3 linked regions of the Rhinolophus ferrumequinum genome follow. The protein of the gene in region 2 interacts with the protein of the main gene of each other region in a pairwise test. Links are inferred from orthologs where the notes say so. Each region holds a gene or a part of one and is shown on either strand. Other genes may lie near its edges.

What was found.
Region 1: the proteins of KLHL42 (region 2) and DDI1 interact in binary tests that used the Homo sapiens proteins (3 or more experiments, as listed by UniProt). The two-hybrid records come from large-scale screens. The link is inferred for Rhinolophus ferrumequinum from reciprocal best matches to the Homo sapiens genes KLHL42 and DDI1.
Region 3: the proteins of KLHL42 (region 2) and SERTAD1 interact in binary tests that used the Homo sapiens proteins (3 or more experiments, as listed by UniProt). The two-hybrid records come from large-scale screens. The link is inferred for Rhinolophus ferrumequinum from reciprocal best matches to the Homo sapiens genes KLHL42 and SERTAD1.

What each region holds. Positions count from the first base shown.
Region 1 is NC_046294.1:73,277,917-73,288,134, reverse strand, and holds DDI1 (protein DDI1 homolog 1), read right to left. Parts: upstream 3,735-10,218; coding exon 2,535-3,734; downstream 1-2,534. UniProt on the Homo sapiens protein: Probable aspartic protease. Seems to act as a proteasomal shuttle which links the proteasome and replication fork proteins like RTF2. Required, with DDI2, for cellular survival following replication stress.
Region 2 is NC_046293.1:38,442,410-38,453,647, reverse strand, and holds the start of KLHL42 (kelch-like protein 42), read right to left. Parts: upstream 4,940-11,238; 5' UTR 4,807-4,939; coding exon 3,935-4,806; intron 1-3,934. Other genes in the region: MANSC4 (MANSC domain-containing protein 4), read left to right, coding at 11,004-11,232. UniProt on the Homo sapiens protein: Substrate-specific adapter of a BCR (BTB-CUL3-RBX1) E3 ubiquitin-protein ligase complex required for mitotic progression and cytokinesis. The BCR(KLHL42) E3 ubiquitin ligase complex mediates the ubiquitination and subsequent degradation of KATNA1.
Region 3 is NC_046298.1:39,107,633-39,118,372, forward strand, and holds SERTAD1 (SERTA domain-containing protein 1), read right to left. Parts: upstream 5,401-10,740; 5' UTR 5,245-5,400; intron 3,527-5,244; coding exon 2,810-3,526; 3' UTR 2,471-2,809; downstream 1-2,470. UniProt on the Homo sapiens protein: Acts at E2F-responsive promoters as coregulator to integrate signals provided by PHD- and/or bromodomain-containing transcription factors. Stimulates E2F1/TFDP1 transcriptional activity.

The sequences.
Region 1 (10,218 bases), on a different chromosome or scaffold from region 2:
GTTGATTACAAGATTGTCTTGTACCACTACCAGGTTGTAAGCACCTTGTGGTCTGGAACTGTAATTTACTCATTCCCATGTTTATAAAAACCTGGCTCAGTGCTTATTATATGGGTGTCCAATAAGTAATTGTTGAGTATATTCTGATTACTGCTACTCTTGTCATTTTCACTGGTATTTTATAGAAATTGGTAGTTTCCATAAAATAAACTTGTGTAACAATTTTGCATCAGTCTCTAGAATTAAAATATGTCAGGTAAAGAAGGTTACAAAGTGTAAAGAACTTGGCATTTGAAATCAGAAAGACTTGAATTGGGCAACCTGGCAGGTCGTCAGTGTTTTCAAATTGTAGATCAGGATACCTTGGTGGGATACAATTAGTGGGATATAGCTAATATATTTTGTAAATAATGAAGTATATATAATAGTTCAAAGAAAAGTATAAAACATTTCATATTATTTATTTTTGTTTCTTTGTTTCAGAGATAGACCAAGTGTGTGCATTTGTGTGAGAAAGAGAGAGATGTGAAACTGCAGATTGTTGTCAAAAAAGTTTAAAAAGCAACCCACTAAGCTAGTGGATATTTCAATGTTTCATAATAAGTCTGAGCTTAGAATTTCCCATCTGTAAAATGTGGTTAATGACAAGTAGTTTGAAGGACTATTCTGAGATTTAGTGGTACTAATCTGTGTGAGGTACTTTATAGCAGCATACTGAGTCCTGCAGGAGATACCAAGGAGTTTCATGTTTTTATCTGGGAAGGAATCCATGCATTTGTCAGATCAATTCCCATCAATTCACAAGCATCTAATTGCTTACTCCTGACTTATTCTGAATTTCTCCCTTCATTTTGTTAATTACATTTGTCCTGCGTACTTAGTTAAAAACAAAAGTAGAAAGAAGTCTCCGTTGGTCATTTTTAGCCGTTCTTCTAGGTGTAAGCCTTGATGTAAATGGACAAGGTTGGGGAATATGAGCATAGGAAAACCAATAAAGAAGAAGAAAACCAGGAGGTAAACTGATGATGGCTGCAGGGGAAAAGATGACTCTTAAGGAAGATGGTGATTAATTTCACTAAGATACAGATCGAGAAAGGGATATAAAAGGATATGGTGATTATAGGGGAAGTTTATATTGTTTTGTTTTGTTTTGTTTTCTCTAGTCTTTCAGAATGGTTTGAGTGGCTTTAGATCTTTTTTGGAGAAATAGAAAAACTTTAAAGATATCATAGATCATAATATAATCTTCGTACTTGAAAATGGCTCTCCCCTCTGAAACAATTGATAGATGAGAAATCTGAATTGTGTATGTGAACTGATTTGTCTAAGTAATAGAGAGCTGGAATCAGAACATATATTTCTTGACTTTGAATCTAGCGCTCTTTCTAATACCAGTCTAGATGGATTATTGCCCTGAAACATTTTCCCTGAGTTTGATGGCCTCAGACAGTCGAACCTTTTCTCTCACATGTTTTAACCATGGGTTGTAATGAAGTCTAGGATCTTCTATTTATCACTATCACTGGAGAGGAGCTTTGTCAGATGGATCATAGAGCTGAATGAGGCCTTAGAGATCTTCTCATTCAGAAGTTTTCAAATGTTATTTTAAGAGTGAAAAACAATTTTTGAAAAATATTTATGTAGCAGTTTAATATACAAAGCAGATTTTTAAAACTGATCTAGTTGAAATGAGTATTAAGGGACCTGGACCACTTCCTGCCCCTACCTCCCACTCTCACCATCATAAAACTACTATGCTTCCAAGAAACACTATAATTAAAAAAATAAAAAATAAAAAATCTACTTGATTGGCTTTGTTTTACAACCAGGGTTTCTTTGAATGCAAGGGAAGAGTAAATTATTTTAAGTGATTCTAGGAGAAAAATCTACTTTCTCGAATATGCCAAACATAGCCTTGAGGAGTTGATCGCAGTGAGCATGACTCCAGGGGAGTCTAGGGGAAAGTGTAAAATATAAAGAAATCAGTGCTTATGCTATCCAAAGCAGACATTTGTAAGTATTGATCAACTCAAGAGTATAATTGACCCAGCATTTCTAATAACTTTCTCAAAGAAAACAAAATTTTTGACAACAGACATATTTCTCTGAATATAAATAATTGTTAGTGCTGATTCGAAATAGTTTTGTGTCGATGGTTGTGGGGTCTGCTGCGATGGTGTATTCCAATGAATTCTGCAAAATCACAACTAGTTTGGACAAGCCGCCCTGTAATCTGATGGGAGGATATCGCTAAAGGAAGAGGTAACTTTTCCGTTCATTGATTACCTGGTAATCAGTTGGAGCCTCCAGAGCCTTCCCAGGATCAGGTTCAGTGAACTACGGATGAGGGAAATGGAAGAGGGGGCAAGAATAGGCCATTATGATTTACATGGTTACAGCTATGAGAACTTGGTCCCAAAGCCAGATTTAGTTGTTACCGATGTTTTTAATGATTACATTGCCAGTGGGCTCATGTCTTCAAATTTCCCGGAACCTGAGACTCCCTTAAGTTGATGACTTATGTGTAACCCATTTCAATGTTTTCTTCGTCTTGCGTCCATGACCGAATGTTTGATATTATCTGCTACTTCAGTGACTGGAGACTCTTGTAGCCCAGTACCACTTACCAGCTTAGCACATGGGGGTAACTCTCCCTCAGGTAGAAAGTGAGTCTGTGTGCCAGTGGTGCCGATCACCAGCACGTTTTTCTTCAAGTCAATGGAACATTGATGTCTCCTGAGTATATCTAGCCCTAAAAGCATGTCCATGGGTTGCTCCTCAAGGATTGAGAAAGAGCATGGTAAGAAATCACCTTCGATTTGAATCTGAGCTAGATGAACTCGGCCAATAATTCTCTGTGTGCCCACTCCTTTAGCAATCCCAGCCCATCTGCGGTCTACCAGCCGTGTTATATTACATCTCTCAGCACAAGCTTGGCTCATAATGGTCATCTGGGCACCTGAGTCAACAAAAGCCTTCATAGGATGTCCGTTCACTTTGCAGTTGATATAGAGCATGGCCACTTGTCCAAAACTCTCTGGAGCCTCTTCCATCGCTATATTCATGTTTTCCTCAATGTTTTGCCGCCGGATTTCTTCTTCTATTTTGGCCTGAGCTTCCAAATCAAATGGGTCAGCAGAGTAGAGGTGAAGCCTCTCTTGCTCCCTCAGGGCCCTTTCCCTTTGCTGATCCATTAGGACCTGAGAAAATGTCTCAAGGTTTCCGCTGAGCAGGGCTTCGGCCAAGGCAGGGTTGCGTTCCTTCAGCAAGGACAGATCATGGGGATTGGAGAGCAGCATGCTTCGAATCAAGGCGGGGCTGTCCATACCTTGAGCAGATGTTAAATTCTCTCCGGAACCTAAACCATGGGTCTGCTGGGCTGACTGTGGACGCTGCTGCTGGTGTTGCTGCCGGGAGCCGGATGTCCCAGGCATGGCTACTCCATTGAAATCTATTCGAGGCAGGCTCGGTGTCCGTCCAGAAGTCCGAGGTTCCACATTCTCCGTCTGAAGTAAAACAACTACATCACCATCTTTGAGGCCATAGGAGCCCAGGGAACTGTGGTCATCAGCGAGGAGTCGCTCCATGTAGACGATCTTGATCTCTTCAGCTGGGATGCCGGACTCGAGCGCACAGAGAGCACGAAAATTGTGGAGCTCCAAGTCAGAGCTGACTTGGACGGAGAAGGTTACCTCTGAGAGGTCCCTCCGCACACAGTACACAGTGACCAGCATGGCATGGGCCCAGGCGGGCCAGGTGGGCAGAGGGCATTTGTTGTGCACTGGCTGACTGGAGCTGGTCTCGGTTACTGGCTCAGCTGCTCCTCACGACTGGCTGCCTTCATTTAGGTTCATTTACCTTTCCAAGAGGCTCAGCACTTACCAGTCTGAGGGCTGCTTGCCAGCCTCAGTGCCTGCTGCTTAGCCTGGTGGAACCCTGGGGTATCATGTTGTGTTCCAAAGTTCATTAGTATGTGTGCTGCTTGGAACTTAGAATGTCCACTCCCCTAGAAACGAAGTTACTCCAATCCATTGGGTTCCCAGGTTAGCGCTTCAGAGCCTATTTAACCCATGATATGAAAAAATTTCAGCTCTTCCTAAACAACATGTAAACATACATTTTGTTCATTTGAGCATTGTAGTCTTCGTCCTTTTATTCCCCAAACAGTGAGTGCTTGGATCCTACATAGAAAGAATCATGCTATGTGCTTAATGTGAGAGGTAGGTCAGACTTAGTGCCTGTCCTTGAAGATCACATTCTCGGGAGGGATCAAAGGTTAATCGGTAAATCAGAATACTGGAGATAAGTGCTTTTCCAAAGACACGTTCAGTATACTAAGGGAACCAACAGAACGAAGGACATTTCTCTAAAAAGGAAAAAGGATGTTGAAGGATGAGCATTTTCCATGTGGAAAACGATGAGAGTCACTCCAGACAAAAAGAAATGAATATACAAAAAAAAAAAAAAAAAAAAGAATTAATGACAAGGCCTATTATTTCTTGTGAAAAGTGAAACAGTCAATGAAATGGAAGAAATTTGTATATGATTTTAAATGGCAGGATATGAAGCTGGGAAAGAAAAGATTGGAGCCAATTTACAGAGTCATATATTAATCTAAGGAATTTAAATATTAGCAGTAAGCAAGATTCCCCCCTCAAAACTTGTGAGAAAAGGAGGGAATAAAAAGAGTAAAGAGAAAGGAAAGGAAATGTAAAAGATTTGATACAGGTATTTGTGAATTTTTTTTTTTAATTTTATTTAATTGATTTAAGGAAGAGGTTTCTTGCAACAGATGGAGGACATATGGTGGCAGGAGGGACAAATAGACACTTTCTTAGTGGCTCAAAGAGAGAGCTGTTGCTAGAATATTATGGAACTATAAGGAAGATTAAAGCTGAAGCTGCAAAAACTAAAAGTGTTTCTTGAATAGAACGCACAGGATATATTTACCCATAGATGTGGGGAGTGTACAAGAAGGCGTGTGTGTGGATAACACGGGGGGTCTCTAAAATGGGAGACTGGTTAGAAATAGGCCATTACCTTGGATGGATGAATGAGATGAAACTTTGAGGAGACCGATTTGACATCAATTCTGTGTGAAATGCGTGGGAATGCCACACTGGACGCTGGATATGCCTAGCCCCCGACCCTAGGACAGTACCCCCAATCCATATACTCCAGAGTGGAGGCTCACAGAGAAAGGGTAAAGAGGTCCTTGAGAGCAAATAATGATTGAGTAGAAATCCTTGGGTGTCAGTTCTTTATGTTTTACTAAGTATTTTGCATTATAAAGAGCTCTTGCTTCCCTGGTTTGATCTTCCCTTGTGTATCTACTCATGAACCAAAAGATAGCATCTCGTGCCAGGTTCCCCCACGCCGCTTATTGCAATTTTTGCCAGAATACCTGCACCATTACTTAGAGGAGGATATTGCATCAGCCTAAAGAATTTATTTATTTTTTTTTTGGCTCCTGTTTCCCATGTGTTTCCCTTGTGTCTCAGACTATATCCCACTCATTAGTCTAATTATCATAATGTTTCCATATTCTTATTCATTTATATTGGAAATGTTAACTAAATACTATGTATGAAGCATGTGCTAAGGTCTAGGGATACATACACAAGTAATGTGAAACGTAGGCTGTGTTCTTAGAGTTCACAGCCTAAAAAAGGACATGTGCACAAGCACACATACAAATTGGGGACTTAAAAAAATACCACAGAAGCTGTCACAGTGTGGGAAAAAGTAACAATGTCTGGAGAACAAATGAAGAAGATGGTGAAGGCTATTGCTCAGGGAAGGCTTCCTGAAAGAGATGGGCTTAGAAAGGTGACAAGACGTCAGCCATGTCGGGATGGGTCGGGATGGAGGAATAAAGGCTGAGGAGAGGAAGGCCTGACTTAGAGCCTGTTACTAGAATGGCAGCACTTCATAACATGGAGGACTTTATAACATTTTAGGGGAGAAAAATCTAGCACTGTATTTTTCCCATAGAAAATTATGAATTTTTTAGAACTATTCTTTACTGTCTCTGGAGGTAGATGGAACTTTGACCCAAAAATATTAAGTTAATACATTTCTTCTGTGGTTCTTAACATCCTGGTAAGTTCACCAGAGATCAATAATGGTTTAATCGTTTCTCCTGAGATTGCCACATGCAAATCACTCTGCTACAGAACCAATAAGAAGCCAGTGAGGCTTACATTCCATGTTTCTCTTTTTTTCTCCCCTACAAATTTGGACAATTTGTTCTTAAAATCTTAATAAATTAGGGCGATAATTCTAGGGTTTTGGTTTCTTGAACAGTGATGACATTATTTTGTAGAGTAAGGGTTTTGTTGTTTATTTTTGATACATATATGTATATGTATCTCCATTGCCTTCCTTGGTACTGAACATAATTAAGTTCTATGTGGTATGTTTTATCACCTTGCTGTAATTCTTTACTTTGGTGGCATTTTGCATTTATGTGCTTATTACTAATTTAGCATTTACTGAGAACACTCAATGGAAATCAAAGAGCCTCGAGGTCTGGCCAGTTAACTGTCACCATTCCATGGATCACTCGATGTCAGGATTGGCAAACATCCTTCGGATTCTCTAGTCCAGCCACCCATCCAGGCCTTAAAACTCTCTTGCAAAGCAGCCTGGAATCTAAACAGATAAACACAGCCTCCTGGGATTGTCTAGTACTTCTGTTTATTTTCTGTTTGATTCTTTTATTTTACTCAGCACTATTGGTGAGTTAACTGTCATATATGTAGTTCTCTTACCCCTAAATTTTAATTGAAAACCTCTTTTGATTATGTAATAAAGTTGGGGGTTATTGGGAGTATATATAAATACTGCTAAAAGTAAAATGTTCTTATCCCATAAATCTCTATTGCACAGTCCACTGAGAAATGGGTCCTCTGAATTATCTAGGTGTGCTAAGCTAGGTATCTGAAGGTTATTGCAACTTTTCTTAAGGAGGCTTTTGTGAAGTATACTCCCTTAATTTCTTCCTTGGTAAGTACAATATAGGAACATAATTGAAACTTTCTTTGATAAGTGAGACTCCTGCAAGTTCTCAGGGCTATCACTCAGAAAATCAATTCTCATTGTATAGCCTAAATACCCAGAAAATAGGAAAGATGACGCTGATTTCATACTGGCCAAGTAAATAACCCCAAAGTTATTTTTTGGAACTAATTTACAATAATACCTTTCATTATTTGCGTCTTTATAAAAACTTGAAGCAGAAAAACAGAAAGAAAGAGAGAGAGAGAGAGAGAGAGAGAGAGAGAGAGAGAAAGAGAGAGAGAGAGAAAGAGAGAAAGAAAGAAAGAAAGAAAGAAAGAAAGAAAGAAAGAAAGAAAGAAAGAAAGAAAGAAAGAAAGAAAGAAAGAAAGAAAAACAGAACAAAACAAAAAAGCAGATAACTGATGGTTCCACTTAGCATAGTCAGTTGATGTTTAAAGTACCGTCTCTTTCTCTTGCTTTTCAGAGCAAAATAAATGCCTTTTCAATGAGAAATAAAAAGGAGTATCTGCATAAACGTTATTATATAGCATATACAATAATTAAAAACATGTTAAGCAAGTATATTAGCTTGCTGTGTTTGGATTTCTTCCTTTATATGACTGCTATTACTTTTAAAATAAAGTATAATCAAGACTTATTTACAGTTAAGTCATCATTTCTGAGTTTCTTTCTTTTTTTTAATTGATTATATTCCCTATATTTTACCTCCCCATGACTATTTGGTAACTACCAATTTGTATTTCTTTATCCCTTCACCTTTTTTACCCTGCCCCCAATCTGCCTCCCATCTATCAGCCCAATAGATCTAGTGCCCATCCGGCACCATAGATCGTTATTACAATATTGCTGACTACATTCCTTATGCTATACCCTACATCCCATGACTACTGTGTTACCACCAATTTGTACTTCTTAATCCCTTACCCTTTTCACCTACCCCCAACCTCCCTCCCATCTGGCAACCATCAAAATGTTCTCTATCTATGAGTTTGTTTCTGTTTTGTTTGTTTGTTTATTTTGTTCTTTAGATTCTACTTACAAGTGAAATCATATGACATTTGATTTTTCCTGTCTGACTTACTACACTCAGCACAATACCCTCTAGGTCCATCTATGTTATTCCAGACGGCACGATTTTGTTCTATTATTTTATGGCTAATATTCCATTGTATATATGTACCACCTCTTCTTTATCCATTCATCCATCCAGGGACACCCAGGTTGCCTTCATATCTTGGCTTATATAAATAATGCTGCAATGAGCACATGGATGAACGCATCCCCTTGAAGTAGTGTTTTGGATTTGTTTGGATAAATACCCAGAAGTGGGATTACTAGGTCCTTTTTTGTCTCTTGTTATAGTCTTTGTTTTAAAATCTATTTTGCCTGGTATAAGTATTGATACTCCAGATTTTTTGTTTGTTTGTTTGTTTCCATTTTCATGAAATATCTTTTTCCATCCCTTTACTTTCAGTCTCTGTGTGTCTTTTGATCTGAAATGAGTCTCTTGTAAGCAGATATGTAGGGGTTTTCTTATCCATTCAGCTCCCCTATCTTTTGATTGGAGCATTAAATCCATTTTCATTGAAAGTAATTATTGATAAGTATGTAGTTATTGCCATTTTATTAATATACATCTTAAAAAAGAAGTCCCTCTAAGATTCCTTGTAATACTGGTTTGGTTGTGATGAACCCCTTTATCTTTTTCTTGTCAGGGAAGGTCTTCATCTGTCCTTCAATTTTAAATGGTAGCCTTGGTGGGTAGAGTAGTCTTGGTAGTAGATCCTCATTTTTCATCACGTTCAATATTTTGTGTGAATCCCTTCTGGCCTGCGAAGTTTCTGTTGAGAAATCATCTGATAGTCTTATGGGAGATCCCTGGTAGGTAACTAACTGCTTTTCTCTTGCTGCTTTTAGGATTCTCTCTTTGTCTTTAACCTTTGGCTTTCTAATTATGATGTGTCTTGGTGTTGGCCTGTTTGGGTTTGTCTTGTCTGGGACTCTCTGTGTTTCCTCGGCTTGTATATCTATTTTCTTTGCCATGTTAGGGCAGTTTTCTGTCATTATTTCTTCAAATAAGTCTTCAAGTCCTTGCTCTCTCTCTTCTCCTTCTGGTACCCCTATAAAGAGAATGTTGGTATGTTTGATGTTGTCCCAGAGGCACCTTAAACTGTCCTCAGTTTTTTGGGTTCTTTTTGCTGTTCTGATTGGATGTTTTCTGCTACCTTATCTTCTAAATCTCTGAGTCTATCCTCTGCTTCATCTAATCTACTGTTGATTCTCTGTAATATATTCTTCATTTCCATCATTATATTCTTTATTTCTGACTGGTTCTTAATTGTGTTTTCTATCTCCATTTTTATGGTTCCTTCTCTTTGTTGGAATTCTCCCTGAGATCATTGAGCATCCTTATAACCAGTGTTTGAAATTCTGCATTTGGTAGGTTATTTGTCTCCGTTTTGTTTGGTTCTTTCTCTGGAGCTTTGTTCTGTTCATTTGTTGGGGACGTATTTCTTTGTCTCCCCATTTTGGCAGCCTACCTGTGTTTGTTTCTATGTATTAGGTAGGTAGGGCTGCTATGTCTCCCGGTCTTAGTAGAGTGGCCCTATTTAGTAGATGTGCTGTAGGGTTCAGTGTCCCAGCTTTCCTGGTCACTTGAGCTGTTCACTCCAGTCATTTCCATTGTGGAGGTTGTATGTGCCCTCCTCTTGTATTTGAACTTTGGTTGCTATTTGCACATCAAAGGGAGGGATTAACCCTTGGGCTTACTGGTTGTGGGGACTGGCCTTGACTACAGTGGAGGTGTCGTGGTACAGGGGCTGACCTTACAGAGCAGGATCTGCCTCAGCAGGGCTCTGGTGGCTGCCCAGTCTGCCCCTTGAGTGTGTCATCCTTGGAGACAGCTGGGTGATTCTCCAGCTCGTTTTGAAGCTGGCTGCTGGGGGCACCAGCCCCAGGGGCACCTGGGAGGGGATCTGCTGCAGGTCATGTTCAGCAGCAGCCAATGCTCCACCGAGGGCCACCTAGTAGGAGCCACAAAGAAATCCACAGATGGCGACTGCCCATGTGATACTTGAAAGTGCCTTGAGAGACCAAGCCCTGAACCAAGGCCAGCTGCTGCTAGTGCCGGGTTTAGCGCTTCTCAGCCAAAGGTATGGGACAAGCTTTACCCAGATGCTGCTTGTCTTGGTTCTG
Region 2 (11,238 bases):
AAATGACCATGAAAAGTAAACATTTTGCATCGATTCAGGACATAGAGGCAGCCATAACAGTGCAACTAAAGACACTCAGAAAGAGGACTTCCAGAAATGCTTCAGAAAGTGGCAAGAATGATGAGATAAGTGTGTTCAAAGAGAGGGGGAGTATTTTGAGGGGGATTAATGGCAATGTGTCGTTTACTGTAATAATTTTTTTATTTAAACATTCACTGTATTTTATGATCACACCTCGTAAGCACTGATTGAATAAGTAATTGAGCTTGATTGAAAAGGAGAGAGACAAACAAAAAATTTCAATTCAAGAGGGGGCACAGGGTTTGAACATTTAGCCCAACTGAGGGTTCAGGAAGGTTCTCCTGGTTGAGATTATGTCAGATCTGAGTCAAAGCATGAGAGAGATAAAGAAGGATGCAAACTCCAATATGGCATCAATAACCAATCAGAAAATAAAAAAATGGAAAAAGTATTTGTGTAGGAAAAAAACAGTAACTGGGAAATACCTAAGACTAATCCTAACAAAAAATATACAAACTCTCAAAGATAATAAAAGAAATCTTTCTGAAGGACCAAAAGACCTAAATAAATACCTGGAAAAACAAACCATTTTTCTGTAAAGTAGTATAAAATTGTGAATCCTCTTCCAAATTAATCTATCAAAGTTATGTAATCACAATCAAAATTCCAGAAGGATTTGACAAGCTGATTTTAAAGTTTACCTGAAGGAGAAGATGTGTACAAAACAGCCAATTAAAATAGAACAAAATGGAACAAAGGGGTCTTTGTGCTACTTGACAATAATAAAATAGGTTAGCAAGCTGCATTGATTTTAAAATGTGTTATTGATGCAGGAATGGCCAATCTACCTATTTGAAAACAGGAAAATTGGCATTTGATAACTGGTTTTGCAAATTACAGTAAGACGAACTGAGGCTATTGTGACGTTTAGAAAACATGTTATAACCTTACATTATACCTTACATGAAAATAAATCCTAGATTCAGATTTAAATGTAAAAAGTCAAAAGTATAAAATAGGCCATGAGATAGATAAGTACTTATATATTCTTAGCTTGTAGAATCCTTTACTATGCAAGATTAAAAAGCTCAGAGAACACACACGACAAATTTGACTACAAAGGAATTTAAAATTTCTTTATATAAGCCAAGGCCAGTGCTGTACTTTGTTAGGTCTACAAGGTTTTTATCATTGCTACTGATTTGTTCGTTTTTAAAATGGAGTAAAAAAATCTAAAAAATCAGGATATCTGGAGTTCCCGCCACACCATTCCTCGCTTCTACTTGGCAATAACTTGCTGTGGCTGAGAGGTGGAGCCCTCTTGTGGTGGGGCAATAGCTCTCTGGTTCATCCTAACTCCCACCCTCGACCCACTGATTTCACCTGCCTGGTCACTCCAGGCATTTCATTATTGAACTTTACAATAAAATAAACACAGGGGAAAAGCTGGGCAATATTACTTAATAGACAAGAGATTAATATCTACATACATAAATATAACTTCTAAAATAAATATGAAAAAAATGAGTCAATTTTTTAAAAATTAGTAAAGGCCATTTACAAAACTATACAAATGGCTGGTAATAATATGAAAAGAACAATCTCTCAGTCAGAGACATTCACCCCAGTGTTTTTGCCCCGTAGGCTGGTAAAAATAAAAAATGATGATAATATCTTGGCAAGAGTCTAGGGAACTGGCAAGTTCAAACTCTGTTGATTAGACAGTGTTTGATAGAAGAGGAAATAAGAACAATTTTTTTGATGGGCAATTTGGCAGGAGCTACCAAAATTTTAAATGTACAGACACTGCCCCACCTCTCCAGGGATTCTAGGAATTTGCCATATAGAACTAACTTTAAGATGCCTAGCAAGATATGTACACATATACCAAAATGTCCACTATAGCAATGTTTGTAATGGCAAATGGAAGCAATCTAACTGCTCATAAATAAGGGAAGCGCTAATTACATTACGTACTTCCATAGGCTGGAATACTACACAGCCATTAATAAGAGTGAAGTGAATCGACATTTGTTGATATAGAAAAAACTGTCAGATACAGTATACTGTTAAGTAGAAATATCAAGTGCCGTAATAATCAGCTAACCTAATCAATTTGAGTAAATATATGTATAAGTATGCACCCCCACATGTACATGCATACATATATACATTTTCCGTTAAACACTATCAATATACTTATATTTATATGACTATACATTTAGTTTATAAATATAAATATGTATTTATAAATTTATAATATATAAGTATGTCTATAGATAGACATATTTTTTAGTCTATAGTTTTTCGTGTCATTTGCAATTTTTCTAAGCATATATTCCTGCATCATTCGAATACTTTTTTTTTGCCCAAAGAAAAAAGGGGCAAAAAAAAGACTACCAACGATTTGTGAAGAAAAAACAAGAATTTATGAGGTGTTGTGTTAGAGCTATGGAGCTGGAGGTTGCACCAATTGATACAATTAGAGACACGTGTAGAAGTGACAGACAACCAGAGGGGCCTTCCACCCCTAATCTGAGCACCACTGAGTGTTCCTGTGTTGCTTCAATTAAAGCTCCTAGAATTTCTTTTAAAACAACACTTCTAATAACAAATTTTAAATATGGTATCATCTCAACAGTGTAAATAATGCACTAAAAAGGGGTTGGAAGAAAATATGCCAACTTGTAGATGGTTATTCCCTCTCAGAAGGAGGCAGTAGCAGTGATAGCCTTTGTGTTTCTTTATTCTTTTCCATTTTTCCATTTTTCTAGAATATCTATATACTATTTTTAATCATCAGAAAAAAGGAATGCTTTCCAAAATAAATGTTATATTATAGTAGAAATAAAGCCAGTATTCCCCCTGGTCTGGGGGCACCCTAGAGTCAAGTAAATATATGTAATGGCCTCCCCATTCCTATTAAGAATTTCTTTGACAGGCGGTGAGTCCCTCGACTCCTTGCTCCACACTTCAGGGCAAGACACATAGTGGGACTGGAGATGGATACAGGTGGATCAGAAGAAAGGGTATTCTTGTTCTTTCTTGAGTTACACTGATTCTTCTCCCCACTTCTGAATGGCTCTGGGCCATCTTGTGCCCGACCATCTTTGTTTCATACCACCCCTTCCTGTATTTGCTCTTTGCTCTTATTTTCCTATTCCTTTCCTGATTCCTTTATCTAACTCTCCCCCAATCTCCTCCTTTTCTCATCTTTTTTTCATGTCACCCAAGTTCATGTCTGGAGGGATTTGCAAGATGGGAAAGGAGAAGGTTGGGATGGATGGAAATATTCTAACAGTGTAGGTGACCAGTTCCAGGCTGAAACTTTGGGTCAATAACAATGCCTAGGAAGGAAGTGAGATGAGAAAGAGAGGATAAAAAATAAGAAAGGCAATCCTACACAGCTAATGTTAATACAATTCTAATCTAATGATTATCTCCTGATCATAGATTGGTGCCCTAGTGTGGAAGACTTCAAAGTCATTAACAACAACAAAAATCCCCCAAGGTCAGTGTTACAGGTTGCTGTCAATGTGTCATCATTATCAGATCCTAAAAAATAAAAAAAAAATAAAAAATAAAAGCAAAATTAAAAAACAATTTTATTTTTAAGTATCCTTCTGGAAAACCACAATGTTTTTTTCCACTGGGACAGGGGCAAAGAAAGCAGTTTGCCTAAAGACACAATACCTGCAAGGAAACTACTCAGCTAGTTGACTTCACTGGGGCCTCTTCATCCTTGAAAGTTCTTATTCATTGGGAACTTTGCCAGAGTCAAGGCCAGCCACACTCCTGAAGATGTCATTCCCACCTCAGCACAACCTCCTGTGACTGCTCAGTAAACATTAAGGGAATGAACTAATGAACAAGTGAATGAATGAGAAAGCAGCAGCGCTCGCTGGGTGCTTACCTCTTCTGGTTCATGGAGGCCACCTGGAGCCACTCGTTGGTGCTGGGATTGTAGGAATGTGCAGCGGAGATCTCCTGGCTAGTGATCCTGTACCCGCCCACTATGAAGAGGTAGTTGTCCAGGATGGCAGACCCGTAACCCCTGACATTAACCAGGTCAGGAGGAAGGTTGTTGGCCAGCGGGAACCAACGTTCAGTCATCTCCTCGTACCTGAGCATGGAGGGGGGCTCCCCCTGGTAGGGGTGAGGAGCCAAAGGCCCCCCCAAAAAATCCCCCAGGGCCACGAGGACAGGAGTCCCAGTCATCCGGCCCTCTCTCAGCCTCTGCTTCAGGCTGACATCCCCTGAGGCCTGAGCAGGAGACCCCAGGAGGTGGAACTGAGGCTTGCACAGCACCTCGTGGAAGTGGATGACCATGAAGCGCAGGCAGGCCTCCTGCAGGTCGGGCAGCCCGTACACCTGCGCCAGGCGGTATAACTCCAGGCAGTTGGTCAGCCGCACCTGGGACAGCAGCAGCTGCAGCAGGGACGTCACTTGCAGGAAGGAGGCCGCTTCCACCAGCTCGGACAGCAGGCTCACCTCGTCCATCTCCTCGTCCTCCGCCGCCCCCCCACCCTTCTCTCCCCGCGGGCCCAGGAGCCAGCCTTCGCGGGCTCCGCCGGCGTTGATGAAGTCCAGCACCAGGCGCAGGCCCGGGGCGCTGAGGCCGCGCAGCTGCTGCACTTCGGGGCCGCCGGCCTCCTGGCTCAGGGCCTCGCGCATGCCGGAGCGGTAGAGGGCGCGGAAGTAGTCGCTCTGCTCGATGAGCTTCCTCTTGCTCACCGGGTAGCAGCGGTCCTCCAGGCGGATCTGCACCATCTCCTCCGCCGACATGGCTGGGGGACCAGGGGCCGCGGGGCTGCCCGCCAGTTCTGCGCGATCGCTTCCCCGCCCCCGCGCTTGCCGGGTTCCGAGTTGGGCGCGCCGGGGGATGGCGCCCGGAGGAGGAGGCCGGCGAAGGGCCGCCCGCTCCCTGCCGCGCTCGCCCAGCCTGTGTGGGTCGCGGCAGCGCCCCGCGAAGCAGTCCCTTCTCTTGGTCCCGGGTGCGGCAGCTCAGCCTCGCTCCCCCAGCGCGGCGGCCCTGCCTTTCTGGTCCGGTTCAGAGCCAAAAAAGGGCCGGCTGGCGCGCGCCGGGAGTGGGCAGGCGGCCGCCGTCCCTGCGCGGGTTGTCCAAGGCCGCGTCAGGCGGGAGGGGATCCCAGCCCCCAGCCTGCAGCCTCCTCCCACGGCGCGCTTCGCACTTCCGCCCGCAGGACCCCTGCCGCCCGCCAGACCTGCGGACGGGATCCGGCTTTCGGGAAGGGCTGGAAGGCTGCGGGCCTCTGGTGCCCCGGCGGGGACCGCGCGGGAGGCGGGAAGGTGCGGCCCCGCAGCCTCCCCCGCACGCCGGGCGCAACGCCTCTGCAGCCTGCCCGGGTCTGCAGCGATGCTCGCGAGGGACAGGAGACGAGAGGAAGCCAGTCTGCTTTTTCTTCCACGCTGCTTTACAAGAGAGGAAGAAAAAGGCAAAAGGAACGGGAGTGGGGGAAAGGGATGAAGGCAGTCTGGGGTCCAGGGAGTCAAAAAGACATCACATCTGGGATCGCCCATCTGGCCCAGTCCCTCTTCGTGTCCCAAGGGGTTAAGGCTCACTGGCCGTCTCTGGACATGTAGGTGGCACTTAGAGCTTAGTCTTCGGCATGGTCATTGTGTAGGAGCCATCTTGCAGAAAGAAAGTCCAGCCGGACGGCAGCAGGTTCTGCAGGACTCAGCGCAAGGGGTGCACGGGGGAAAGCGGTTTGGAAGCAGAGAAGCCTGTGTTTGCTGCTGGGGCCTGTTATCCTTTTTATGCGATTAAAAGAAAGCACAAGTCGACTAAATAAAGTTAGATCGTGGGCCTTCTTTTAAAATATTTCCTAACCTATGGAAACGTCATTGCTTTCCCTATTTCAACGTGGTTGGGCGAGCCATTACGGAATGTTAGCTTTGGACATAAGGTCAGACCCCTTCTGCTCATTTTTGCCTATGGAGGTGGCTTTTCTTGCAACCCTCTTACCCTTCCTTTCTCTAACCCCGCCTCCCTCAGTCTGAGGACTACTTAAGGAGAGCTTCTTCTCCATCTTCTGTCACCAAACATTGCAAAAAGAGAGCTCACCCCAAATAATACAAAGGATCTTGTGTTGCTCATGAGCTATGAATTAATCCTGAGGGGCAGGGGGTATTATTAGGGTACCTTTGAGTAGAAGGAGGGATAGGATTGGGAGAGAGCAGAGGGTGTGTTTACTCTTACCGTATAAAAAACCCTTGAAAACTTTCCCAGACCAAGATGTGAGAACCAACTATAAATGTCTTCAACTTGGAGATAATATGAGTTTAGACTTTATTTTTCTTATTACAACCTTCAGCTTTCTTCTTGAATGACAAGTTGTTAAATAATACCTTCATCATAAATACATTTCCCTTATTTAAAACGGAAGAGACCTTCTCCAATAGTGATTAAAATTTTATGTTACCAAAGGGCAAAGGTTAAAAACCAAAGAAGAACGTCGTATCTGTAAAACAAGATATCTTTTCAACACATTGTTTGGTTACATTTGTGCTTCTTTCTGTGTAACTTAGCTGCTTCATAGTGAGGTGATGTCATCCAGTTTTTTCTTTACACCATGAATATAAAACTAGAACTTGAAAGACATGGGGAAAATTCTACTAGATTCTAGCCTCCCTGGGAAAATGAAAGAAATAAAGATGAATCTATGACTTGCCTCTTTCAGTGTGCTTAGACTCTGAAAAGCTTCTAGTTTTTCACCTCGACCTCGTTTCACCTGGCCTTTAAATCATTACTGATAAAACCCCATTCTCACATGGACCTCTCACACTTGTTCTCAATGAGGGTACAGTTTGAGACATTCTAAGCTTCTCTGGGTGAGTGACCATGAACTTAGCAACCTCTTTGGGAAGGTAAAGTGACATGTCCAGTATTAGGCATTTAGCTGGGGAACTTGTGCTGGAAGGGGCCCCCTGTATCAGAGATTTGGACCATCAGTGACAATGCGAGATTCAGTGGGTCAGCCCAGAAAAACAGTCTCTTTAGAATCTTTCACCAATGGATGCTTGTTTCCCAACCATATCTATGAGGCAATCATAGATATGCCTCAGACTGGTATTTTGCCTTTTAAAAACAGACCCCCCCCAAAAAAAAAAAATCACACTCAAAGAATGATGTGCATTAGAAAGGCAATTCACACACAATAATATTACCAGATCAGCTTGGACACAGAATCTGGGATGTTAGTTTGACAATACTAGGCACTGATCCTGTAAGTTATTTGTCCCCAACATGATAACGACATTTAGGATTGGAAGCATCTTAAAACATCAAATTATTTTAATAACATACAGAAATCTTTCTGTTAAGCTAGAAATGCAGTCAGAGCAATATAAACTCCTTTATTTACAAAACGAACTAAAATATTATTTTCAAGCTTCATGAAAATATTGCTTATATGTAACTGGAGGCATAATTTTATAGATCTCTTATTGACTGATCATTAAATCATAAAGACTGAACTTTGTGGTAATTATGATTCACTTTAAGCACTTTACATCATGATCTGTTTTACAGAAAACTGAAATAACGGTCACAGAGTTAGGCTATTTCTTTAAGAATTTATGAAAAATACACATTTTGACCTAGAATGGAAAAAATTCTAAGTACACGATGTTTATCACAATGTTGCTTTTAATAATAATAAACTGGAAAACAGAATATATAATAATAACAGTTAACATTTAATGTTCATTATATGCCAGGCACTGTTGTACTTTACATGTACTATAATAGTATTTTTATACAGTTTTATAGCTGAGGAAGCTGAGGTACAGAGTAAATTTTGGTACATGTATAGAATGAAATACTGCAGAGTTACAATTTTTTGATGTAGAGAAAACTTTCTTTAGAGATTACAACTTTTGATGTAGAGAAAACTTTAGAGACACTGAAAAATATAATTTTATACTGTATTTTTAAAAAACAGGTTCTGAAATAGTATGAATCCATTTGTCATGTATCTGTTTTTGTAGAGGATGTTTACCAAAATGTTAAGATTGTAAGATCTTGAATAGTTTTTACTTCTTTTTGTACTTTACTATATGGTTTGGATTTTTTTAAATAAATGTATATAAATGTATTAAAAGCAAAAGATTTTAGGAAAATTAAAGACATATTTAAATTTCTCAGGCCCCATTTCTTTAAAACAATTTCTATCAATTTTATCAACTGATGAAAACATTAAGTAAATAATACAACTCTCATTTTTAAAATAACGATGAAATATTATTTTTCAAACATCTTGTGAATTTAGTCAACCTATGTGATTACTTCACATCTACTTAAAAATTATCTTTATTTCTTAGTCCCTCTAATATTCCTAAAATAACTTGTTGTTTTTTAACAAGCAATACCAAATTTTCCTTTCACTAAAGCATATGGGCCAATTTAAATGAGTTAAAAGTAGTACAGTTTTTAAAACAGCTCTATTTAATTCAGGTTGAATGTCTTCATGTAGGCAAAACTTCCATTTATTTCAGATGCTTATATCAATGTTTTCCAAACATCTTAGAAAATTACCTGGGGCACTTATAAAAATAAGAATTCTGCTTCCCAAACCAAAGCTACTGAAGCAAATGAGTGGTTTTTAAAGTAGAAATCTAATTTTTGAACCCCTCTGAAGAGTGCCCAATTGGAAATGAGTACAACATATCACTGCAATGCAATAGTACAGTGATTCTGGATATTTGATACAATTTGTACAAAAGGTACTTAGCAATGTCTTATTCAGAGTTGTAGTTGCGTTCTGGTTTCTGCAATTTCATCTCCATGGACAAGGTTTGAGATGCTTCTGGGCCACACATATCTCAGCCTGTTGTGTATTCCTCCCTCCGCCCCGTAGTCCAGTTTCTGTCTCTCCTTGTCAAAATACTTGGCTTCAAGAAGTTACTCATTTCCAGACTATGTTTAACAGTTTAAAAAAACAAAAATGTTTTTAAAGCTTTAAAGCATGCTTTTACATTGGAATTTGTAGATTCTTTAAAATGCAGCTTTGACCTTCACTTGAACATCATTTGATAGCAAAAGGAGTAAACAATTGTGGATTGTTCCATTAGTCCTGCAGGGAACATGAGAGCTTTGAGGAATTACATGTCACACAAAAGAAACTACATTTAATGTGACTGAAAGATGTGGAGGTTAGAAGGTTAGAAAGTAGACTTTCCGGTTTTTGTCCCAGGCCATGAGCTAATCAAAATAGCTATGGAATCTCACAGAAAAACAGGGAGTAATTTTTTGTTCATCTGTCCCTTGCTTTGCCATTAGGAAACTGCTCTCTCCCCTCGGAACATATGGAAGATTGTTTGCAGGTAAGCAACCAGAACTCGCTTTCTATGAGTTCATTAGAAGAAAATATGTTACCACTTTCAGTGTATTTTATGTGGTTTATGCAAGGTTAGGAGTTAATCCATAATATAATTTTTGCTTGCAAGAAAGTGAAATGTTTTGTTTTTAAAGTTATTCAGTCTTTGGAATATTTTCCTCTTTATTATCAATTATTAATATTATATATTTCTACAAATCAAAAGATGTGGTAATTAGGCTATTACTGGGAAACAGGTGAAGAGATGAAAGTTCAAAGAATGTTAACATTTTTTGGTCAAGTCTGAATGAATTATTGTGCAAAAAAGGTATGAAATAAACACAGAAAAAAGTTAAAAAAAAAAAAAAGCATAGTATTGTACTTTATGCCCAAAGCTGCTTTGTATAAAAATGGATACAAAGAAACAACAGTTTATACTTGGAACTAACTTGTCATCTTGGATATATCATGGGATATAAAACATACAATCTTCATGAAAGTAAGAGGCCACTTTCACTACCTTTAATATCTTTTCAAATGTTTTGGCATTGCAATTGAGGTAATTTTATTCATATTTATAAATTTAAAACCATTTCCCTATTTTCCTAATGCACGTTTCTTAGCAACTCCTGATTCAAGCACAGACACTATGCATGTATGTGCTTCACAAAGCAGGCTCCTTTATAACTTCCAAACATGAATTTCAGAAAACACATTAGACAACCCTCAATTTGAACTTCTTCACAATTTTCACTGTGAATTACACTTTTTATTATTGATTGAACAATATACACCTCAAGGGGTACTGTATTCTACTACATTATGAAGCTGTTCTTTTTGCTGAATCTTTATAGTCTTTTAAGAACGCTTCTGGCTGGCCTTGGCAAAAAATGCATGGCCCTGAGAAGTGACCAGGATCCATATTCAATATTTTCAAAATTAAAATTTAAAATTTTTATTTCATTTTCAGTTTTCATTGACTTTCAAGATTATAACTTGTTTTTTTTTAGTAAAAACAAAAATGTTAAACCAGTGCACAAACTGGTTTTCTAGTGAACCTGAATACTAGAATTCAAATTCAAAAAAAAGAGATAATTTTTTTAAAAAATCTGTAGTCACAAGTTCCTTACAAACCACTCAGAAGTGCCCTCACAAAACAATGTCTTATTTCTCTTGAAATGGATCCTTTCTTTATCTGATGTCAAGTGACTAAACTATTGTTTTCCTCAGAAAGACTCTTAGCTAGGATTTCCACTTGTCTTTATGTTTACTTAGTAAAAGGTGTTTGTGACTATTCATTTTCAGAGAAAGAAGAAAAGCAGAGGAGAGAATCTACGTCTTCAGGAGGCTAAAGGACAGAGTATTGAAATGGCCTGGACAGTGTTCAGAATTAATGCCAGCAAGTCAAATCTTCACCTGGGGCTCAACTGGGAAGAAACAAAAGAAAAATCAATATGCAGTCAAAGAACTGCCTCATTTTTCTAGAAGGTGACCTCCCCCCACCACCCACTCCTCAGAAGAGTCCCAAGGAAGCTCTCCCTTAGCAACAGCACCGAAAGTTCCAGAAACTGTCCTAAACCCTGATGGTCAGCTCCAGCTTGTGTGTGGAAATCAGACTTATTGCCGAATCGTCTTACCAGAGAAATGCACGTGGCAGTGGTGGCAGCAGACGTGATCATGCTCCTTAGCATGGGGTGGACCTCAGACTCTCTCTGCTCACCCACCATATTTTATAGAGACTGCTGGATCCGTCGCTTCCCAGGTCTTCTAATTGACCTGGAGGAGTCTCAGAAGATGGGAGCTCAGTTCTTGAAGTATTATTCTGAGAGCACTGGCCAGAAATGCAGTAGGAGCTGCTGTCTTAGGAAGGATGGTAAGT
Region 3 (10,740 bases), on a different chromosome or scaffold from region 2:
TATGATCACACAGCCACAGAATGGCAATGCTGAGGTTCAAACTCAGGTGGTCTGCTTTTCAAATAATTTCTGCTTTATAGTTCATTGTGTCAATAATCATTGACTAAGCATCATTACACTTCTGCACCTGGACTGCACACCCTAGGTGCTTGGTAAATGTTCATTGGATGGGTGAATTGGACAGGGGTGGTAGGTGAGCCTTGAAAGGTGCAGGATTCAGATCCCAGAGGACTGGGATAAATTCTGAAGGCCCAGAGCAAGGGAGAAATGTGGTCAGATTTGCGTTTGACAGAGGGCCAGGCACACAATAGATACACATACATTTTTTTCCTGAATGAGGGAAGGAAAAATGGAAGGGAGGAAGGTAGGAGAAGGAAATCAAGGACAGAAAAGAAGTGCATGTGTGACGGGGGTCCCTGTGAATGCCTATGCAGGGGAACTGGCCTGGGGAGTGTCGTGGTGGGAATACACAGAGGCTCTGTGAAAGGCAGCAGCAGTGCCAGAGCTGGCGGCTCAGCAAGGAATGGTGTGGGCCCTGGAATCTGCTGGCCTCCTGGGGTTGAGCCTGAAGGCGGAGGGGCACACCAGAGCTAGGGACCCTGCACAATCTTCCAGGGCTCGACATGGGGAGACTGGGGCAGGTCCTCAGGCATGAGCAGTTCATAAACCTGAGGGCAGCAGGGGGATGGGACAAGGGCTGATGTAGCCCATATGGTGCTTTTATACAAAAGACATGCCCCTTCCCCGAGGCACTTGATCTCCATCTGCTGGCAAACTGTCATAATAAATATGTAAATGCATGATGTCTGAGATATGTGTGGTAGTCCCTTAAATATGGAGACTATGTGCAGTGCACAAACTGTGCAACTGTACGCAGAGGTTCTGGGGAGAAGGGGCCATCGCTGGCCAAGCAGGCACAGAGGCAGATGGGAGCATCATTGACAGGTGGGTTGGCTGTCTGCATCAGTAGGTATTACGATTATCCCCCAATTTGGCACCCAGAGACAGTAGGAACAGGCCCCCAGGGTGTTGTAAACAGGGCATTGCTGATCCCACACTGGGACTCCTGAACCACTGGACAGATCTCCAAAGAATCTAAGGCAGTAGCATCATAGACCCCCAGACTGGGCACCAGGGGGCATTGCTGAGCTCCACCTAAACTCCCAAGGTCTGGGTCTGGGTCGAAACGGAATCTGAGTCCCATCGCCCAGGGGTTGGAGTCAGGCACCGGAAGACCTTCAGCTTGGACATCAGGTCCCGTCGGGTCATTTCCACTCCCCTCCCGTGGCCGCCTCATCCACTTCCAGAAATGGGTACGACTTCCTCTGCTCCTCCAGGAAGCTCCACTCTGCCCGCCCCTTCCCGACCCGAGGGGCCCGCCCGGAGCTGCCGGCCTCCCCGAGTTCCACCCAGCTTCAGCCTCCCTTAAGCTTCCGGCCAGAGGGAAGGCGGTGGGGCCCAACGATCCTGGTGTCCCCTGTCGGCGTTTTCCCGTTCGAGGCCCAGCCGGCCCCTCAAGTCACCATCCGGCCCTCAGCTCCTCCTTCTATCCCCCGCCCCTCCCCCACCAGCACCCTGGGCGCTGCCCTGCCCCCACAGCCGCCAGGAAGGACGCCGCCTGGGTCCCGTGCCAGGCCTCTGAGTGTGCGGCCCCTCCCAGCGGGGCCAGGAATGCGGCTGGACCGCGGGGGCGGCGCAGACACCCGGCGCTGAGGCCAGCCCTGTCATACAACACAGGCAGTCAGGCAGGTGGCCTCAGCTCGCCCGGGCCTGGGTTTCTTCTAGAAGGAAAGCAGAACAGCCTGCTGTTCAGTCAAGCCACCAAATCTAGTGGCTTTATTTCTAAGTCAGCCTCCAAGCAGCCCTATTCCCTGCCCAAATTGAGATTTGAGACCCGGAGTGAAATTTATTTTTTAAAAGTTGCTGGAGTCTCCCTTTCTGTCACCATTTTCCTGGAGAAGCTGCCTCTCGGAACTCCTTGGAGAGGCTCCATCCAGCCTTCAGCTTTGTGCTTTTATTTCTAGCTCATTCTGAAAGCTCCCTTTTCCCTCTCTCCTCAGCCCCCCTAGACTCCAGGCAATGACTAGATTTCCTTATTAAAAAGTGGCCTGGGGCCCCCCTGCCACCACCACTACTATGATACACAGGCACACCAGGGAAACCTGGCTGAATATGTTCTGGGGAGTTTTCTAGAGGGCCAGTTACCAGACCTAATTGTCTGCTTCTGAGACCAATAAAACTGTAAAGTTCATGGTTTGAAACCCACCTCCTCAAGTGATGAATTCCTGGAGCCTCAGTTTGTCAACTGCAAAATGGGGATAATAAAAAAGCCCATCTTGTTATGAGGATCAAATGAGTTAACACATGTCAAGTGCTTAGAGGTATGCCGGATACACAGTCCACGGTCAATCAATATTAGAGGTTATTGTCTCACCCTCGCCTTAACCCAGAGACAAAGAAGCACACAGACTTAATATTTACCAGACCTGGTTTTTAATTTCATAAAACTGGTTGGGGTCTCTTCCCACATCTGGGAGAGAGTATCCCAGGCTAAGACCTCCGGGGAGTCAGTCCAGCACTGGGCCTCGTCCAATCACATTCCAGCCACCAGGCCCTATAGTCCATGGAGGACTGATCCCAGACTCCTCCCATCAGCCTGAGACAAGGGGACGGAGGTGAAGCTGCCAGGGACTGACTGTCTCTCTGAAGCATCCCTTTCTGTTCTAGAGGAGCCAGCCATGTCTTTCCAAGGACAGTTGTTTCAGCCACCAGGCTGTTTGGTCACCAGATAAACATCCCAGCCCTGGGGTCAGCGCCCCGGCCCTGGTGGCCGCTCCAGTGCCTGTGTGCCCACCAGCACATCCATGAGGTAGTCCAGCTCAGCCTCATCCAGCTCCGGGGCTTGTTCCTTGACCGGCCCATCCTCAGGCCCAGGTTTGAGGCCCTCAGAGGCTGGTGCCCAAAGTTCACTGTCATACATGGAAGTGTCAATGTCCTCAAACAGGCCCTCGAGCCCATCGTCCAGAAGACAGCCAGTAGCTGGGCCCAACAAGTCCAAGGCACCCAGGCCAGGGGGGGCTCCCCCCGTGGGGCGGCCAGGTGGCCCCTCGTCTGCCAAGGGCTGGGGGGCCTGGCTTAAACCCTCGATATGACTGAGGTCCTCCAGGAGGCTGGCCATGGAGGCTGAGAGGGCAGCGTCTGAACTAGCCAGCAAGTTGTCAGCCATGCCAGGGGCTGCAGGCACACTAGGCACAGGTGGCAGGGAGGCTGTGGGCACCATGGATGCCTGGATGCGCCGCAGCGTGTTCACTACCAGCACCAGGTGCCGCAAGTCTGGCTCACTCTGCCGCAGACTGTGATGAAGCTTGAGCACTGAAAGGTCAAAGAGGGAACTGGAGGCCACGGCCGGGGGTGCCTGTGCCACTGCTGGGTGGCTGGGATCCAGCCACCAGGCGTCCACTGCCAGGGCTTCCTTCTCCTCCTCCTCCTCCTCCCTCTTGCGCTTCAGGCCCTTGCTCAGCATCATCTGTGGGGAGACAAGTTCTTGAGTTACGGAAAGCCAATGTCAAGTTCAAACCCTGGTCTGACTACTGCTGCCTGTATGATCTTGGGCAAGTCACTTATCCTCTCTGAACCTAGGCTTTCTTAGAGAACCTTTACTATATGAATGATAATAGTCTACTTCCTAGAGTTGTTTTAAGGAATATATGAGATAATATCCAAAAACCACTACAACAGTGCCTGGTACATAGCAATTACTCTTATTCATAAGCACTATTATTATTAAGTATTATATTTCTTCAATGAACCATGTGAATTGTCCAGTATTCAACTTTTTTAACCTATAAAAGCAGCTGTTTCACATAGTTTAATCTAAGTTTATTGAGTATGTACTATGCATCAGACAATAAACAAATACAGGAAATGTACAGATGGTGTTAGGAAGATACTAAAAGGTTCTGGGGAGTGGTCAGGGAAGGCTCCTCAGAGGAGATAACATTTGAGTTAAGCTCTCAAGCATGAGAAGGAGTCAGCCATAGAAGAACGAGGGGAAAGCAATCCTAGAAGAGAGAACCACAGCAAAGGCAAAACAAGAGTTGGAGGCAGGATGAGCCTGTACTGAAAAAAGGCTAGTGTGTGCCAATTATACCTTAAAAAAAAAAAAAAAGACCAGTGTGGTCAGCGCACAGAGTGGCAAGGTGGGGGCAGGGGGGTGGGAAGGGTGGAGAATAGGCAGAGGCAAGGAGTTTGGATTTTATTGAGTGTGGTGGGAAGTCATTCAGGAGTTTTCAGCAGGAAGGGGAGTGGTGCTGTGAACTGATTAGGTTTCCAGAAGCTCCTCCTTGGCTACTTCGAGGATGGTGGTCGGGGGTGTAGGGAGAAGGGGGAGATCTATTCGGAGAGACTACTGCACTCTTTGGAGCAATGACGGTGGCTTGGAGTAGAGGGTGGTAGTGGACATGGAAGGAAGTTGGTCGATTCAGGATTTATTTGGGAGGCAGAGTAGACAGAGCTTGCCGGGAAATCCTGATGGGCACGGGAATCACTGAGAAAACTTTGAGGACCCACACTTTCCTTCGGGCGGGATGTGGGGGGGTCCCTGGAGTTCTAGACCACTGGCCCAAGCTTTTTTTTTGAGGAAGACAGCCTGCACGGTCCAGTCCCCGGACCCTTACCCAGTAGGACCTTAACAGTGACCCCTCATACTACTCAGAACTGGGTCCTCGTCTCCTTCCCCGTAGACCCGAGAGTCCGGAACCGCAGGAATTCAGCCCCCACCCCCACTCTAACTCCGCCCCCCTGTCCCCGCGCCCCCTAGTGGCCCCAAGCGGGCCTTCCCCCGGGGATTCCAGCCCCTCAGACCCCAGGACCCTGTACACCGCCCCCCGTCCTGGCTGTCGTTCCTGCCTGCCTGCCAGGGCAGTGCAGGCCAGGATCCCGTGGGCTGCTTTGCCCTCTCGGCCTCCGCTCGCTACCGGAAGGCAGTGGAGGCGGCGCCTCCCGAAGCGGCGGCGGGGGCGGGTGAGTCACGCAGCCGGAGCCAGAGAGCCGGCGCCTCCGCCCCCTTCCCGGGCTGCGGCGTGATTCACCCGGCCCGGCCAAGGCGGGCGGCATTTAGAGGCCCGCGCTTCTCGATCCCGGTCCGTCCCGGCACGCACCTGCCGGGCGCGGGGATCGAACCTGCCAAAGACTAAGCCGCCGGTACCCCTTCATTCCCTAGGCCCCTTTCCTTCATTTACATACCCAGTTCACCAGCTGCCAATCAGAACGAAGAGGGAGCCACCCGCAGCCAATCAGGAAGCGGCGGCGGCAGCATCACTTGCTAGCTCTCCTTCGGCAACCGGCGCCTGGGTCGCGAGACGTAGTTCTGACTCCAGCGCACGACTCCAGGCTCCTGACTCCTCTTAGCTACCGCCCACTACCGTAGCGGCCCCGCCCTACACCCAGGGATTGGCCCTGGACGGTTATGGGAGGAGCCTGTAGGGGGCAGGTTCGAAGGGAGGGAAGGTTGTATTCAGGGCGCATGCCCGGGCTCCTGCGTAAGGGTAGAGTAGAAGGTAGGGTGGCTCTTTGCTCTGGTAGGTTGTGGCAGGGAGGGGGTTTTTGCTTATCAAGGTGCAGGCCACTCACACCAACGCATGCGCTTGCCAAACTTAGCAATTGAGCTTCTTACACACCCAGCCCCAACAGGGGTCTACACTCTAGGCCAGATAGGCCTGGGTTCAAATTCTGACTCATCACTCACTTGATGTGTGACCCTAGAAAAACGCTTGACCTCTTAACCACACGAAGTCTATTAAATGGGGATCTTCTTGCCTACCTCTTGAGTTAGGAAAATTAAAATAAGATCGCATCCGTAAGAGCACTATACTAGACTCGGCAAATTTTGGGCAGTTGGACTCAAAGGTGGGAGTCAAAAGATGAGAGTGGGGGGATGCCACTGGGGTCGTATATTGGGCGCCATTCCCTAAGTAGCTGAGTGACCTTGAGCAAAGGTTTTAGTCCCTTAGAGTCTCGGTTTCCTCATCTTTATTAAAATGGAGATAGCATCTGGTGCAGAAGATTGATTTAAGGATTAAATTGAATAATTTGTGCAAAATGCTCAGAGTGGTGCACAATGTGTCCTTTTGTTAGTAGTAATAGCTGTTGTAGTGATAGAACAGGCACTTAGTTCAAGGGGGAGCACGTGGGATGGGGTATAAGTAGACAGGAGTTTAATACTTGTCTGATAGACTGAAAATGGGACTTACCTTCTTCAAGTAGAGTAGATCATTTGCTAACTCTGCTGGAGCTGTGGGAAGAACTGTTAGTTGTGAATAACACTCCTGGCCAAAGTAAGTGCTCAAAAAGTGCAAACTATACTATGCAGCATTATTTATAATTGCCAAAATATCGGAGCAACCTAGGTTTCCATCGATAGACGAATGGATAAAGAGGATGTGGTACATATTGTCAATGTAAGAATGTTCAAACCTGTAGATAATTTTTATGAGTTTATGTGAGCCAAACCGACAACATGCTGGGAAGCAAGATCTCAAATGCTCCCTCCAGCAAATGACAGTTTTGCAGCGTCTATTATGCATTTGGAATTAAATATGGAATATTTCTTCATCTTTTCTAAGTGCTAGAAATCTTTCATAATAAAAAGAGGGTAAAATGATCATTAGAGCCAGGCCCATGCTAGGAAAATTCAAATTATTTCCCCCACAGCCTATCTTGTTGGCCAGGAAAAGGAAGCACAGTCTCCAAGAGGCTTGCTCCACGTCGTACATGGAAGAGCTCACAAGAGTCATTTGATTAACATGTACAAGAATTTATTGACCGCCTACTAGGTGGTGTACACTGTTGTAAATGATGGGGTATACTGGATAAACCTCACAGGGTCTCACTTCTTATGGATTAGGGGAGGGGTGGAAAGAAAAGAAATATGAAAAGAGGTGACATGGAGTAGAGACTTGGTGAAATGAGAGAGGTAGTGAGGAAGGGTCCAGCCAGAAGGAAGGGCCAATGTGAAGGCCGGGTTGTGGGCGTGTGCTGGAGGCCCGTGTAGTTGGTCTGTATGCTGTCGGGAGCAGGTCAGAGACGTTTTTAGGCCCTTCTGAGTACTCTACGGACCTTTGTTTTTCATTCTGAGTGGGATGAGAAGACCCTGGAAGATTAATAAATGAGGAAGATAATCTCTGCCTCCGTTCAGTGACTTGAAGAAAACAAAATAGGATGGGGTTAATAGAGAGGCTTGGGGAGAAGTATCTGTAGCCAGGGTGGTCCCGTGGAGGTGACTTTGAAGCTGAGACCAGAAAGTGGAGAAGGATCCTGAAATTCAAAGAGCTGGGGGAAGGGAGAAGGAAAGAGGCCGGGCTTTAGGAAGTGAAACTAGTAGCGAAGCTACCGGGCCCAGCAGTCCTGGGGAGGAGCCTCAGCCAGCTGAGAAGGGAGGGGGATGGGGGAGCGCCCCGCCCTAGCCGGCTGCCCCACCCGGCCTCTGGGGAGGGAGGAGGCGCCGGGCCGGCTCCCGACTGCCGCCGCCTCCGGGTATCCCGCCCAGAGCGAGCCCAGGGCGGTGGGTGGGCAGCGGGGAGAGACGGGGCCTCCCTGCCTATGCCCTTAGGTGGCCGCGGCCCATCCTCCACCGAAGGACAGCGCGGGAGGGCAGGTTGGGGAACGTGGACTCTGCCCTCGGGACCCAGTTCTCTCTGCCGTGCCAGCCTTTCCACTTCTCTCGCCAGTTCTTGAACACGGCAGGAGCTCGCTCTCTCTGAGCCTCAGTTTCTTCATCTGGAAAGTGGGGGTGCTCCTCATACTGGCCTCACTGTGGTTATCTTTAGAGCAGTTAAGGAGAGCCTATTTAAACGGGAGTCAGGTCTTGCCCCCCCCACACACTCTGCTCAACACCCTCCTATGGCTACCATTTCACTCAGCGTGGAGTTCAGGTCCTCCCTGTGGGACTCCCTTAGACCTTACATGATTTAGACCCCTCAGCACTTTCACCTCCTCCTAGTACTCTTCCCTCTTGCTCACTCTGCTCCAGCCACACTGACCTCCACACCCTCTCTCAAATGCTCCACACGTCGGAGCCTTCACCCTGGCTGTTCCCTCTGCCAGGATGTCCCCCACAGATTCATTTGGCTCACTTCTCACCTCCTTCAGGTCTTTATTCCAATGTCACCTTGTCACTGAGGCCTTCTTTAGCCATTCCATCTACATAGCGACACCCCCTCATCACATTCCTGCTTTCTTTTTCTCTACAGCATTTGTTACTTACCTTTTGTGTTTATTTCAGCCTCCCCCCACTATGATGCTATATGAGAGCAGGAACTGTTTTACTCACATGCATGGAAGAGTGCCAGGCCCACAGTAAGCACTCAGTAAATTCGAGCAATTATTGGAATCCTCAGTGTGCATTAGGCCCCCTTTTACACACTTTGCACAGTCGCTTAATGAGGCAGGTAATACTCCACGTCTTGATGTTGGGACATGCTGGTGTATTTGAAGGATGGCAGAGAATAGTGTGGCTGGAGCATGGGAGCGAAGGAGTATGGGGGAGATGAGTACAGAGAGGTGGCAGGGAGGGTTGGCCATGGTGAGATCAGGAGTTCATTTTTTCAACAATAGCAAAAATGGACTTTTTTTTGAGTGCCCACCTGTGCCATGCATAGTTCTACTCACTGGGGGATACAGCTGGGCTAAGACCGACGAAACCCCTTCCTCTCAGTTTCCAATAAACCAAGAGGCAACCATAAAAAGGTAATAATTTGAGCTTGAATAGGTGCTACTATGAAAATCAAACAGAATGTGATTAATCAAACAGGGGTGGTAGTGCATCTGGACATGTTGAGCTCGGAAAGGCAGGGAAGGCCACTGAGAAGGGGAGAGTTGGATTGGTGAAGCTGTGGGGGAAATGTCTTCTGGGGAGTTAACAGCAAGTGGAAAGGCCCCAGGGACAAAATTAGGTTGGGGTCAAAGGAGACCAATGTGGCTGGAGGCGAGTAAGGGACAGTGGGAGACTAAACTGAGGAACAAGACTATCAGGTCTCAAAGGCCTTGGTGAAGTTGGGATTTTATTGAGTAGGAGAAGTCACTGTAAGTTTTAAGTAGGAAAAAGACACGATCCAGTGGGCATCCATATTGAGATGCGGAACTTCTGTGCCTTCTTGAGATCCTCTGTACCACCTCCTCTTTCTTGATTGGCACCTACCTGTTAAGTTACCCCACTGCTTTCAGACTTCAATGCAATGCCCCTCTAAGGGTGAGAATCTGGCTTTGAGCCAGAAAGCACAGGCAAAATCCCCCTCCTTTCCCTGCCTGTGGACTATGCCAAGGTGTGGTTCCTCCTTGCAACGCTTCCAGAAAAGTCCCTAATGCGTAGTCACCTGCTGCCATGTCCTCAAGTGTTTGTGGAAACATAGCCAGTTCAGCAGCAATGTTATCACATTGTATCTTCCCTAGCCTCTCTTCTCTTTTCCCCTCACTCTCACCAGCCTGGGTTTGTACCTACCAAATAGTTAAAAACCATAACTTTAGCCTGGCTCTACTTCCTAACCTGGTTTTCTGAAAAACCATTCAGCACTGGGAATCTTTGGGCATTTTTCTCCTCTGGGGTTCAGCAGCACATTTTATACAAATGAAAGGGTTGACAAAATTTTAACTGTCAGAAAGTCCTATCCTGGGCCAACCTGGTGGCTCAGGTGGTTGGAGCTCTGCGCTCCTAATGCAGAATGTCGTGGGTTCGATTCCCACGTGGGCCAGTGAGCTGCGCCCTCTACAGCTAAGATTGTGAACAACAGCTCTCCCTGGAGCTGTTGGGCAGCCGTGAGCACCGGGAGGTTGGCCTAAGCTGCGGTGGGCTGCCTCGGGCTACTGTGTGCCACGGTGAGGCGGCCGCAGCAGCCAGCCAGAGCTGCCAGGAGCTGCTGTGAGTGGCCAGACGACTGGCGACCAACTGCTTCAGTGGGGGCGGGGGGGGGGGTCAGGGAGCACAAGGCTCACAATACCAGCATGGGCCAGGGAGCTGTGTCCTACACAACTAGACTGAGAAACAGATTGAACCGTAGTGGGGGGGATAGGGGAGGTGGAAGAAGGGGGGAAAAAAAGTCCCATCCTTTGACAGGTAATTGACCTGACTCAGTTTCTCCAGGTGGCTGGGGAGTCTAAATCTACCAAGCAGCAGCAAATACAAGTTGAGAACCAGGCTCTCGAAGCAGATTAAGTTTCAGTCCTAGCTCCCTGGTACGGCTTATTAGCTGGGGGACCCTGAACAAGTGACTTGGCCTCTCTGAACCTCAGCCTCCTATGTAAAACATGATTACAGTATCTACTTCTATATGAGGATTAAACGGCTTAATTAAAATAAAGTGGGTAGAATAGTGCTCTTAACAAGCACTCAATAAACGTTATATTTAATGATGTACTTCCCCAACTTTGGCAGGGAAGGGGTACAGGTATCTAGGGAACTTACCAGATCACTCCCATTGACCCACTGAAGTTTAGAAACTTTAGACAACACCATCCCTTCCAAAATATTTTTATTAAAAAAAAAATAATTACAATCAAAAAAACCACCACAAAACCCACCTTTCTTTTAAATAATGTGGCATGGAGCAGTTTGGTTTCCACCCTATTGCACGTGGTCCGGCCTGGTTATGAATCAGGAGGCTGCTGGGACTGGGGTCCCACCAACAAGGTGGGGTTCTGCCTGGGGGGAGGAGGCCAGCCCCTCCTATTCCCTGGAGGTAAAAGAGG